3 linked regions of the Rattus norvegicus genome follow. The protein of the gene in region 1 purifies or fractionates together with the protein of each later gene. This does not show direct contact. Links are inferred from orthologs where the notes say so. Each region holds a gene or a part of one and is shown in the gene's direction. Other genes may lie near its edges.

What was found. The genes of interacting proteins can lie anywhere in the genome.
Region 2: the proteins of Itch (region 1) and Entrep1 purify together in Homo sapiens (co-immunoprecipitation; 3 studies listed by BioGRID and IntAct, counting the BioPlex papers as one, with this or other methods). This does not show direct contact. The link is inferred for Rattus norvegicus from reciprocal best matches to the Homo sapiens genes ITCH and ENTREP1.
Region 3: the proteins of Itch (region 1) and Laptm5 purify together in Homo sapiens (affinity purification with western blotting; 3 studies listed by BioGRID and IntAct, with this or other methods). This does not show direct contact. The link is inferred for Rattus norvegicus from reciprocal best matches to the Homo sapiens genes ITCH and LAPTM5.

The regions. Positions count from the first base shown.
Region 1 is NC_086021.1:164,189,290-164,192,845, forward strand, and holds part of Itch (E3 ubiquitin-protein ligase Itchy homolog), read left to right. Parts: intron 1-2,155; coding exon 2,156-2,255; 3' UTR 2,256-3,556. UniProt on the Homo sapiens protein: Acts as an Acts as an E3 ubiquitin-protein ligase which accepts ubiquitin from an E2 ubiquitin-conjugating enzyme in the form of a thioester and then directly transfers the ubiquitin to targeted substrates.
Region 2 is NC_086019.1:231,069,985-231,074,182, reverse strand, and holds the start of Entrep1 (endosomal transmembrane epsin interactor 1), read left to right. Parts: upstream 1-1,372; 5' UTR 1,373-1,454; coding exon 1,455-1,841; intron 1,842-3,990; exon of another isoform or gene 3,991-4,097; intron 4,098-4,198. UniProt on the Homo sapiens protein: Functions as an activator of the E3 ubiquitin protein ligase ITCH in the ubiquitination of the CXCL12-activated CXCR4 receptor. Thereby, triggers CXCR4 endocytosis and desensitization, negatively regulating the CXCL12/CXCR4 signaling pathway.
Region 3 is NC_086023.1:148,370,398-148,374,705, forward strand, and holds the start of Laptm5 (lysosomal-associated transmembrane protein 5), read left to right. Parts: upstream 1-1,482; 5' UTR 1,483-1,489; coding exon 1,490-1,576; intron 1,577-4,308. UniProt on the Homo sapiens protein: May have a special functional role during embryogenesis and in adult hematopoietic cells.

The DNA.
Region 1 (3,556 bases):
CACAGTTGACTTTGTAGGGGCTACTGGCAGCAGCAGGGAGTCAGATTCACACTAAGAAAGCTGTTGAGGTTTGGTCTGTTGCTATGTATTGTATTGTAATGCTAAATTCTGTATCCTAAGCTCTAGGCCTGTGAATGAATTCTCACAGTTACAGGCTTTTGTTGTGCAAACCTTGTTTCCTAGTTTAAAACTGTTGGTTAAATAAGATAGGTGGGTTTTGAGTTACCTGGTTGGAGGCGGAGAAGCTAGAGGCCAAGACTGAATGGGGAGAGGGGACACAGTACCAGAGAGGAGATGGGCTGTGGCACTAGCGCAGGCCTGGAGAAACACCAGGCATCTAGGGGACACCGCTGGGGTGGGGAGGTGGCCAGGCCAGCAGTTAGAGAAGCAGATTAAAGGTTGCCCCTCAGTAATTATCAAAGCCAAATAAAATAACCATAGTCCGAGTTACACGTGTTTGTAAGCTAGCCAGGGGCAAGATTAAAATTGGTTCTACTACAGAAAGGAGTGTGGTTTTAATGGAAGCCACTTTTTACATTCATGAGCCTATCTGAGTGTGTGCATGTCTGTCTGTGGGCGTGGAGGCGCTGCAGTAGCATGCGGTAGGAAGTCACAGGATGCTCTACACAGTCAGTTTCTTCTTCCACCTTCTGACCCAAGGCAGCAAGCTCTTCCCCAGCTGAGCCATTTCACCAGCCTAGGAAGTAATTGGTTGGTTTTTGTTTAAGGTAGGGTCTCATTAGGCAGCCCAGGTCAACCTTAAACTCAGGATCCTTCTGCCTCATCCTTAACATTCTGAGTTTATTAGCAAGGTGTGGACCTGTGCTCAGTTTGGGAGATTTTTGGAGGGTTTTTTTTTTGTTTGTTTTTTCTTTTTTTCTTTTTCTTGTTTTGAAATGAGCTGGAGAGAGCGATGGCTTGGTGGTTGAAAGCAGCTTCTTAGGTGACCACCACCACCTACTCTAGCTCCAGGGACCCTGACACTCTTTCTTCTCTGGCCTAAAAAGGCACCACACACATGTGGTACACAATCAACACAGACAAGCAGATACATGAAGCAGATGTCTTACTACATTTGTACATGGCAGGGCCATGAAGGATTTCCTTCATTTGTACCACATGGGTCTCAGGGACATAACTTGGGTCATCTGACCTGCTGAGCCATCTAAGAATATAACTGGTTTTGCACTCATGTTGTACACGTATGTTTTAATTCACCAGCTCTTCATAAACATACTGACAAAGAGATAACAAAGCTCAGTTATCTTCCTTCATGAGTAACATCTTCAGGAGCAGCTTCCTTGCTACCTTATGAAGATGGCATTGCACAAATGTGAGGACACTTAGGACAGGGATGGCGGCATAAAGCCTGCAGTTCCAGGGCTTGGAAGTAAAGGCAGCAGGGCTGGAAGCCCTGAATCACCCTAACTATACAGTGAGCTGGAGGGCAGCCTGGACTGTGGGACCCAGCCTCAAGAAACATACAGACTGCCTAGGAAGCGCAAGGCCCTGGGTTCGGTCCCCAGCTCCGAAAAAAAGAACAAAAAAAAAAAAAAGAAACATACAGAAACCAGACCCTGCTTTAAAAAAAAATCTATGGCTCTGCTGGAGAAATTCACAGCTAAGAACAGAACAGGAGACTCTAGAGGGAACAGAGTATTAGGTGAGGATCATTTTAGTTTAGTTTGTTTATATGGATTTTGTTTGAGACAAAATCTTCCTACATAGACCAGGCTAGCCTAAAACACACAGAGGCCCATTTGCCCCTTCCTCTTGTTGTTGGGATTAAAGGCTTGCGCCACCACAGCTGGTCCCTCATTTCGTATTCTAACATGATACACCTAAAACCACCTGCATTTACAGTAAGATTGCTGACCACTGGGCCACAGTGGGTAGTTGGAGCAGCAGGAGAAGACTGGCATTTGCTGAGGGTCTGCTAAGTACCTGCAAGGTGCTGTGTGCCTGTTTCTAACTGTACCACCGTGGTGGGTGCTGCTGCCCCAGTTTACCAGAGAAGACACTTGGAAGGGTAAAGGCAGTTCTTGAAGGCTGTGTGGTTTAATCACACATTGTCAGACCTCGGAAGTGATGCTGTGGGCACTGCCTGTGCATCTTTGTAGTTTCCTTTTCTCAAGCCAACAATTCTTTCTTTCAGTTTTAACCGCCTGGACCTCCCACCCTACAAGAGCTATGAGCAACTGAAGGAAAAGCTGTTATTTGCCATTGAAGAAACAGAAGGATTTGGACAAGAGTAATTGTTGAGACCTTAGGCCACCAGAGGCCAGGGACTCGTCTGCAGTGTCTGTCCCTTTCCTTCTCTGCCTGTTGCACATCTTATTGTAAACTTGGACTGTGACTAGAGAGTTATCTGAGAGTAAGTAAATTAATGTTATCGTTGAGATCTTCCAGTCATTCTGGATTTCTACTCAACGTTTCCAGAAAGCAGATCTACAAACAGTAGTCAGAAACTTAACATGAGATTTAACACAGCGATGAATTCTCCCTGTCTTACTCCACTAGATTGTTCCCTTAACAACAGTTTGCTGTTTGTCCGGAGTCTCACTTGGGCGCAGGTCTCTTAGTGGCTGTTGTAAAGGGCTTTGCAGGGACATCTCAGAAACTGCAGTACACAAGGTCTTCCTGGTAAAGCCTCTAGCTAAGAGGTGCAAGCTTAACCCAGCGTCTGGGCACACGAGCAGCTGCAGCTTGTGCTCTCCCGCTCTTCTCAGCCTGGCCTGACTGTTGTTTTTCATTCCTGAAGCATGACCAGTGCACCATCCTGCTGTTATTTCTGGAAGTGACGCAGGACTTGCATTTCTCTACAAAGTAGTTGTGTCTATTTGAATTCAGGGAAAACTTGGTCCCCGCCAACATATGACTTCATACCTCTCTTCATTCAGTTTGTAATTGTTTATTGCCTTGCACATATGAAACCATACTTACAGACAGTATCAGCACTGTGGCTCCCTCACGGTTTTTAGAAATTTATCTAGAATTAAAATAAGTTCAGATGAATTCATGTAAGATCATTCCTGATTTTTAAATTCTACACATAAATTAAAGCTTAATGGTGTTGATGTAATCCAACACCTTAGTTACATTTCATCCTTGCTAAAATATTCAAATTGCAACCATTTTCTAACACAGATGGAGGTCAGTTCAGTGGTGCAGTGTCTGCAGTCAGAACAGCATCCAGCAGCCACACAGCTGCGCTGTCTTCACACTCCACTCCTGACACAGCAGGAGCCGTTTCTACCTTCTTCAGGTCCTGATCCGCAATAGTTTTCTCACCTCTAAAAATTTTAGATCTCCCTTTTCTTTCCATGACTCATTTATCTTAGACTGCTCCTTTAGTAACTGATGAATGCACTTTGACCTTCTCTGTAGTTAATTCACCTTGGCTTAGCATTAGACTGTCAAGATGGCTGCCGCCATAGACATTATGGGCAATAGGATGAAACCTCAGCCAGTTGAGTCCCTTTTGTAGCCAAATCCCAAAATCAGCCTTATTATTCTAATAGGGACCTTGAAAGGTGTTGGTGGCATAGCATAAAGC
Region 2 (4,198 bases), on another chromosome or scaffold:
AATAGATTTATTTAGCCTGAGAGAATGTCTGAACACTCAAGCAGACATACTGTGTTGCAGGCTGTCATCCAGCCTTAAGAATTAAATACTTTTAAACTTGTGTTTAAAAGAGAAAAGTTGTAACTTAACTCATCTTTACGTGCCATGGAAGAGAACCTATTGTAGGTTTTTGTTTTTAAGTACACGAGGCATCAGATTTTCCGTGTTCATTTAAAAACAAAACAAAAGCCAAACTACTCCCCACCCCACCCTCACCCCCACCACCCCGGACTTTGAAGTTTATTCCTGGGAGCAGTCTGAATGGAAGTGCCAGGTACTATTAAACACGGGTGGCTTTATGACTTAAAAGGTGTGCATGTAAACACCTGTGCATTGGTGATATATATCACATTCCGTGACATGATGTTCAACATAAATACAGTCTTCATGTGCAGAGCACACAGACAAACCTCCATTTCTCTTGTTTCACTGAGCAGGAGGACATTAGATTCCCTCACCTTTCCAATAAGTCAAGCTTTCAAATGCTACAACTGGCTGCAAACTGACACTGCTTTGGTTCTTACCTGGAAAAGAAGTTCACTATCACCATCTTACCTATGACACCTTAGACATCTAGGCATTCTAGTAGGGGAAACTTTTTGTGCAAAGGTGAATAATTGCTTTTTTGCCCTCAAAGCTCGATAAATATATTATACATTACCAAGGCAGATTAAGATTTTATTAGACCATTTCCTGAGAAGTTTGGGAGTCAGTGTTCTATCAGGTGATGCCAATTAGCTCCGGGTCAAAGCTAAAAGGATGTGACCCCTGCCAACTGCACAGGGCCGCCCTGGGCTCTTCCATTGTGAATGCTGAGTAGTGACTTCCAAGGTAACCTGGCCTTGCCACTATTGTTTCCACTCTGGTGCTGGGAAAGCACCCTGTTACCTCCCGGCAGAGCTGCAACGACAGAACCGGGAATTCTCCGTAGAAGCCATAGATACGGTTGCATTCCCGGGCGGTAACGTCCAGCGAGTGTCCTCTTCCCCGCTAGGACCTTTTCCCGTCGGGTCGCCCACAGCACCTCCTCCGGGCGTGGAGGAGGAGGAGAAGCACGCGGGACTCCTTCCTATTTAAAGGTCGCCAGGTCCCTCTGAGGGACCTGGGTCAACGACGCGTCCCTTGGCGCCACGGTTGGGGACAGACTCTGAGAACGGTTGGGCCGCTAGTTGCGGGGCCCCCGCCGTTCTCGGACACTTTTCCCGGGTGGACCCCAAGGCGACGGCGCACTTGTCACCGTGGGTGACCGAGAGGGGACCGCAGGGGGCGGGCCCCGCGGGGCAGGTGGGCGCGGCCGGCGCTGCCCGCCGCAGCAAGTGGTTGGGCCGTGCGCAGTCCGTCCTGCGCGGCGCCGGCGCGGGTGCCCGGTGCGCGGCGCCCTCCGCTCCGCTGCGCCGCCCGCCCGCCGCGCGCCCATGTCTCTGCCGGTGGTGCTCCCGGGCTCCTGCTGCCCGGTGGCGGGGCTGTCGGGCGGACCCCAGGCTGGGGGTCCTGGCGCCGCCGCCGCCGCCGCTCAGGAGCCGCCGCTGCCCCCACTGCGGCCGCGCTGGCCCCGGGGCGCTCTCCAGCCTCCAGCCCGTCCCCGCTGCGCCCCCGCCGCCGTGCTGGCCCCGCCGCCCGCGCTCGCGTCCCGCCGCCCCGCCGCGCCGGGCTCCGCGCTGCTACCGGCGCGCCCGCTGCTGTCGCTCGGGCTCCTGCAGCTGATCCTGGGCTGCTGCATGGTGGCGCTCAGCTTCGGGGCGCTGTCGCTGAGTAGCTCGCCGCAGGTGAAGAACTCGTGCCCATTCTGGGCAGGCTCCTCGGTGAGTACTGAGAGTTGCGGGGCAGTGTGTTGTGGAGGGTCCCTTCCATTGTTCTTGTTTGACCTCTTTTGGGGAGCGCAGACCCTAAAGCCACCTGAAATGTAGGCGACAATGAGTGGGGGTGGGGTGTGGGAGCTAAGAGTCGTGAAGCAGTCAAGTTGAAGGGGGAATTGGATTGCACTTGGGCAGTGTCTGTCCCTTGCACGCTAAGGATATTGTTTCCGCCAAGTTAACATTAAGCACAGTATCAGGCTCTTGGAGAGCTTGGCATGAGAATGGGCGTAGAAGAATTTAAAACTTTACTTTTGGCCACTGAATACTTTACAGCATTGGCAAAGTAAACTCCGAGAGGACCAGGGTTTTCCTCACCGATACACCAACAATACCCGTACAGGGTGGGGCACTTTTTAGAATGGACAGAGTGACAGATTGAAGAGGGGGAGGTGGTCGACTTGTTTTTATTCTTCATTTAGACACGAATGAATGAAAGAGTTTCTGGAGTTGGATGACTGAACCCTGAGGAGCTCTGAGGTAATAGGAGGTTGTGTGTGACTGATGGCTTGTACCTGGTCATTAAAGAAGGGCTCAAACCCTGGGTGGGTTCCTGGAGCCACCAAAACTGCTCTGCAGAAGTGGATGCTCAAGAAACAGAACCTGTCATTATGGACGCACACCCCAGGACTCCAGAAGTTGGGGCAGCTAGCTGGGATGTCTGCCCTACCGTGGCACCTGGCCCTGCCTCCTTGGCCAATGGGGCATAGGGAGGCTCGGCTGTCAGTGAGCAAGCATTTGTAGGCTGGATGGCTGCTCTTCCCCGCTTCCGAACTGTATCACAACTTTTAAGGCATCCAACCCCTTGAGGTTTGCCAAGGGCGCTGGAGACTTGGAACAGGTCCTTGTGCCAGGCCTGTGGAGGATGAATACAGCAAATGACCTTTCTATAAAATCCCTACGACGCCTATAGCTCTTTCTGTGATCTGCAGGGAGTGCCCGTTTTGTGCTCTACTGGTTAGAACACAGTCAGAGTCAAGTTTAAAAAAAAAAAAAGTGGGAGAACATATTGAACCTCGAGTAATTGTTCAATTAATTGTTCGAATGAGGACATTGGGAACATGAGGTTTCTCTGACCTAACCCAGAATGTTGCATTACCTGTTATCAATCTATACTTCTAAAGTCCTTTGCTAAAATGCTTCTGATGGGGCCCCAGTTTTCTGTGCTCTAGTGAGTGAAGTCCAGAACTTAAGTATTAGGTGGACAGAGTTCCACCCTGTAGTTCTGACCCTGGACTCCGATACTATCTTTGTGAGCGCTGGAATACTTTGAAGTGTGGGAAGTCTATTGAATAGGAATCAGAGTACTGCCTCCCCCACCCTTTGCCAGGCTGGTCATAGAAATGCTTGCTACACTTCTTTCTTCTAAGTACCCTGGGCCAGAGTCTTGTGTGTGTTTTATGGATTTACTCTTTGTAAAATCATGATCCTTTGTTCGCTCAAGATAGCTAGTTTATTAAGAAATATTTGTGGGAGGTGCTAGGGAGATTGCCCAGTCAGTAAAATGTGTGCCGTGTAAACATGGGGACTTGGGTGTGGATTTTTGGAACCAACCCAAAAAGCTGGGTATTGGGAGAGGGGAGCCTGAACCCCAGTGCCTGGAGTGGGGTCGGAAGAAGATGGATACAGTGAATCTTTGAAGTTCATTGGGCATTAAGGCTAGCCAAATGGGTGAGACACCCAGTCTCTAAAAATAAGATAAGATGAGGAGTGTACCCAGTGTGTTCTCTGCCACCACACACATGCAGACATACTAACAAGTACTCACACTATACACATAACCTGTACACACACACACACACACACACACACACACACACACACACTCGAACACACATTGTATTTGCTTTCCTCTAAAATTAAAATCTGAAATCAGTTTGCAATTATGAATTCTTTCAAAGGTAAGTAAAGGCTCTTAGCTTCATTGAAGCCACAATGGGATTTGACAAGAAGGAAAACAAAGCTCACAGACCGGAATGTGCGGGATGGTAAACTGGAATGCACAGGATGGTACCTGGGCTTGCCACTGGCTGGGCTTGTCCTCAGGCACAAGCAAATCGGACTAAGAAGGAATCTAGGGTTTGGAGTTGAAAGGGTCGTGCTCGCTTCGGCAGCACATATACTAAAATTGGAACGATACAGAGAAGATTAGCATGGCCCCTGTGCAAGGATGACACGCAAATTCGTGAAGCGTTCCATATTTTTATTTGTATCAAAAATAAATAAGTGACCATGTGCCAAAAAAAAAAAAAAGAAAGAAAGAAAGAAAGAAAGAAAGAAAGGATCGCTTCTCTAAGCCATAGTTC
Region 3 (4,308 bases), on another chromosome or scaffold:
AAGCTTGCTCGGCAAATACTTTATCGAGTAAGCTATCTCCCCAGAGCTCAACATGCCTGATTTTGTTGTCCTGCCAGAACAACCCTTTTCAGGACAAGGATGCTGAGGGCCGTTTATAATCTCTCCCCTGGCAAAAAATGATGAGCAGCTGTGGTGTCCAATCCGAACTCCACGGTGTCACAGGAGGCGGGGCTTAGCGGTTCCTGCCTTTCTGTCTGCTTGGGGCTCCCCCAGGTCTGAAGCAAGGGCACCTTGTCCCTTCTTTATTGCAGTGTGGGTGATTTATCCCCCGAGACACCAGGGAAAAGTTTCAAGCTTACTAATGCCAACATTTCCTAGGGAGTGAGAAAGAATGCGCAATCCCAGTTTTCTGTTTCAGGTGACCCCACAAAGTGGGTTTGGCCAAGGGTCTCCCAGATCACCTCCAGAGGTTATAGACTGTAAGAGAAAGAGCCTATTACAGGGCCTGGTCCATACTCATGCCTATGGCTTCTCACAGCGACAGTTCTCTCCTTCAGAGCTCAGAACGAGGAGGTGGAGCTGTGTGAGAAGCTTGGCTTCAGGGAGAGCCCCTAGGGCAGCGTTTCTCAACCTTCCTGATGCTGCCACCCTTTAATACAGTTCTTCGCGTTGCGGTGACTCCAAACTATAAATTTATTTTTGTTGCTACTTCATAACTGTGATTTTGCTGTTATGAGGTGTAATGTACATGTCTGATATCCATCATATCTGATGTGTGACCTCCGTGAAAGGCAGGTTATGACCCGCAGGTTGAGAATTACTGCTCTGGAGTCAGTTGGCCTCCGTTCCAGTCCCCACTCCTTTTGAGACTGCAGGCGAGGAATGACATCATCCTGTGCCTCAGTTTTTCCATCTGTAGAAATGGGGATAAGAGTAGCACCTCTTCCTGGAAAGTGGTAGCATATGCCTTTGTTAGGGAGAGGCAGGCAGATCTCTAAAAGTTCCAGTCCAGCCTGCTCTACAGAGTGAGTTCTAGGACAGCCAGGGCTACACAGAGAAACCAAACCAAACCAAAACCGAAGAACAGTTCCTTCTTGGAACAGCCCAGGTGAGGAGCAGAGGGACTAAGCCCCTAGGGTCTCAAGGAAGCAGTTTACTGACAGCTGCTGTTTTTACAACCAGGCAGATCTGGGTTTGAATCCTGCCATTAGAATTACTGTTTTATCTGATTCTTCTTCTAGAAAAGGGCTTCTAGGGGTGGTATTCAGCATCCAGGAAGCGGAGTGCGTATAAATGCATAGCCCGGCCCTGGTGAAGCATTGGAGCCCCACTCGGGCTCCCTGATGTCAACTGTGACAAACCCTCTTCCCTCCCCACTGCAGCTGCTACATCCCAGACTTACAGACCTGGCCCCTACCATCTGAGGGCAAGGCGGAAGTGAGGCGGACAGCCCGCGGCTTCCTCTTTCTTGCCCTGCTGTGGGCCCAAGACTCCTTACTCAGAGCCTCGGAAGAGGGGACCGTGCACCATGGCCTCCCGTGCAGTGCCAGTCAGGCAGACATGCTGTTGTTTCAATGTCCGAGTTGCCACCGTAGCCCTGGCCATCTACCATATAGTGAGTATTGGGGTGTCTGGTGTGTGTGTGTGTGTGTGTGTGTGTGTGTGTGTGTGTGTGCGTGCGTGAGGACGTACTGGGATCTTCCAACTGGGGGATGGCTATCTATTACTTGTCTGTGGGACCCTGGACAAGCTGTGTGCTACTGGGTGCCTCAGTATTTCCCTATGGAGTTGAGCGGAAGAGTGTCCTTAAGGTTGTAGTGTGCGAAGGGGAGAGTAGGCTGGCAACGGGGAGGAGTGCAGCTTGGGATTGTTCCAGGGCTCCAGGCCACACACACACCTGGGTGTAGGGCTTTCTGGGTCCTATCCTAGCCTGGGCTCTGTCTAGGGTTACACTTTTGGACTTCTAGTGGGGACCAGGGAAACTTTCCTCTCAGCTCACAGCTCAGCCAAGCCACCGCCTTCTCCCTTCAAGGATAACTTAAGCTCTGTGTTTGGGGAACTGCTTGGGGGCCGCCAGCATGTCGCAGTGGCTGTCACTGTCACAGTGTGACCCCAGGTCTAGTGTTAGTCCCCAGGGATAAGGCTCTCCCTTTGGAGTGGCCGAGGGTTGGAGTCTCTGTTCTCTTCTGCTGGGATTTACCCCTGGCCCCCGCCCCAGGCCACAGTTAGCTCCCTGAGGCCCAAACATTTTCTGGCTTCAGTGACTCAGACAGAACCTGTGGCTAACAGCTCTCCTGGGCCTGGAAGAGCTTCCTCAAAATCAACCCAAATCAGTAGGCTGCTGCACAGGGCCTGGTGACATCTGCTTCCGGCCACAGGCAGTGTGACCAGGCGGTGGTACAAACCAGTTCTGTCCTTAAGCCCTTCTGGGTGCCTCTCTGCCCGCCCCCCCATCATTCCCAGTCTTTGCTGTGCAGTATCAGATGACTTGTTTAACCTCTCTGAGCCTGTTTCTTTAGATCAAAAACAAAGATGGGACGATAAGAGAGCTGCATGTTAGGTGTCTGTGTGGGTGAAGTTGATAACTATAACTTGCGAGGGACGTGTGCAACATGCCCCCACCCTGACTTTTCATGAGTGTGTCCTGACCCACCGGTCCACCTTGAGCAGGGGTTCTCAACCTTCCTAACGCTGCAACCCTTTAGTACAGTTCCTCATGCTGTGGTGACCCCCTTCAACCATAACATCATTTTCATTGCTACTTCATAACGGTAATTTTACTACTGTTAGGAATCGTAACGTAAATATATCTTTAGAGATAGTCACCAAAAGGGTCGCGACCCACAGGCTGAGAACCAGTGATCTAGGACCTGGCTTGGGGGTGAGGAGCTCAGAGTTTGTCCCACAGCCTCAGCCAGGACAGGAGCTTTGAGGGGCGGTAGCACTCTGTCTTGGCATCGAGTCTTTCGGATTGTCATCTCTGAGATGGCACAGCATTCTGGGAAGCATGTGATGAGGGTCCTGATGCCACCTCTGTTCGAGCCAGCTGTTTGAGCTCCTGGGAAAACCCTACTTGGGACTTGCTTCCTTATCTAAAGTGGGGACTAGGGGCCGAGGATGGGAGTTTTGAACGCAGGTATTTGCAGTATGCTGGGAGGGGTGGTCACTAAGTGGCTTCAGTGGGGTGGAGGGTCTTGTAGTTGCTGGGACCCTTGGTCCATCTGCTCTGGTGGCCCCGTCCCTGCCTTTCAGAGAAGCGCTTTCTCTCCAATTGTCTGGCATCTCAGAATGTCGTAAATATATTAAAAAGTAAATAAACCAGGCAGGCCGTATCATGCAACTGTTGTGGCCTCTCGTCTTATTGGTGTGGTCCAAGCACCTCAGCTGTGGACGCATCAGTGGTGTCCTGTTTCCATAGAGACCCAGGAGACTGTGGGTCAAGTGATCACGGGTGGGGATGCTGCAGTGTGGGAGGGGGAGTGTGGATGAGGAGCTGGTGGGTGTGAGGAGGTGAGATGTGCCTGGTTCCGGAGCCGACTGAGAGGGTTGGGGAGGAGGAAGTGAGGAGCGCTTTGTGTAAAGTTGAGCCTTTGAGCCTTTCCTGGTGCTCCAGTGTTATTTAGGGCTGGGCCATTCTTTGCATTGGATGAGCAGGTCACCTCCTAGCCACCGTTCAAGTCCCTAGACGTGAGCCATGATTGTGCAGTCTGCAAAACCCACTGCTTGGTATGGGAGTCATTCAGAGCCGTGGGACGTTCTCGAGCCACGGGGTGGGGGTGTAAGATCAGAGAAACCTGGAAGGGAGATACCCATCCCAGGGACTGGGTTAGGGTACACACACAGATGGTCTTCCTGCCCCCCTTGGCCAGATCCCCTTTTTTCTTCCCACAAGAAAAGGGCTAGGGGGCTTTCCTTTGGCGCAGCAGCTGGGTGACAGGTGTGCCAACAGGACCTCAAACATCTGGGTAGAAAAAGAGAAGCCACCACCAGATGTACCAGTCACTTGTGTTAACGTCATCTGGAGCCAGCCATGGGTGACATCTCTGTACGTTGAGAGCTATTTGTGCACTTGGCCCCTGTGGGGAGGATTAAATTGGGCCATTGACGCCCGAGATGGGGCCACGCTTCGTGGAACTGTAGGGTACAATTACAGGAAGATTCTACCTGGCCAACAGGTCTGTGCTCTGATGCGTCAGGCTTCCGGCTTGCCTTGGGCACAGGGGAATGAGAGCACGGTCCCCAGCTGGCCCCTTGCATTCTTGGATTCTAAGTTGGTGGCAGGGAATAAGGAAGGGAGAGGGGACACTGGCAGACCTTTCAGTAGAGAAATCCCTGGGCTCCTTCCTG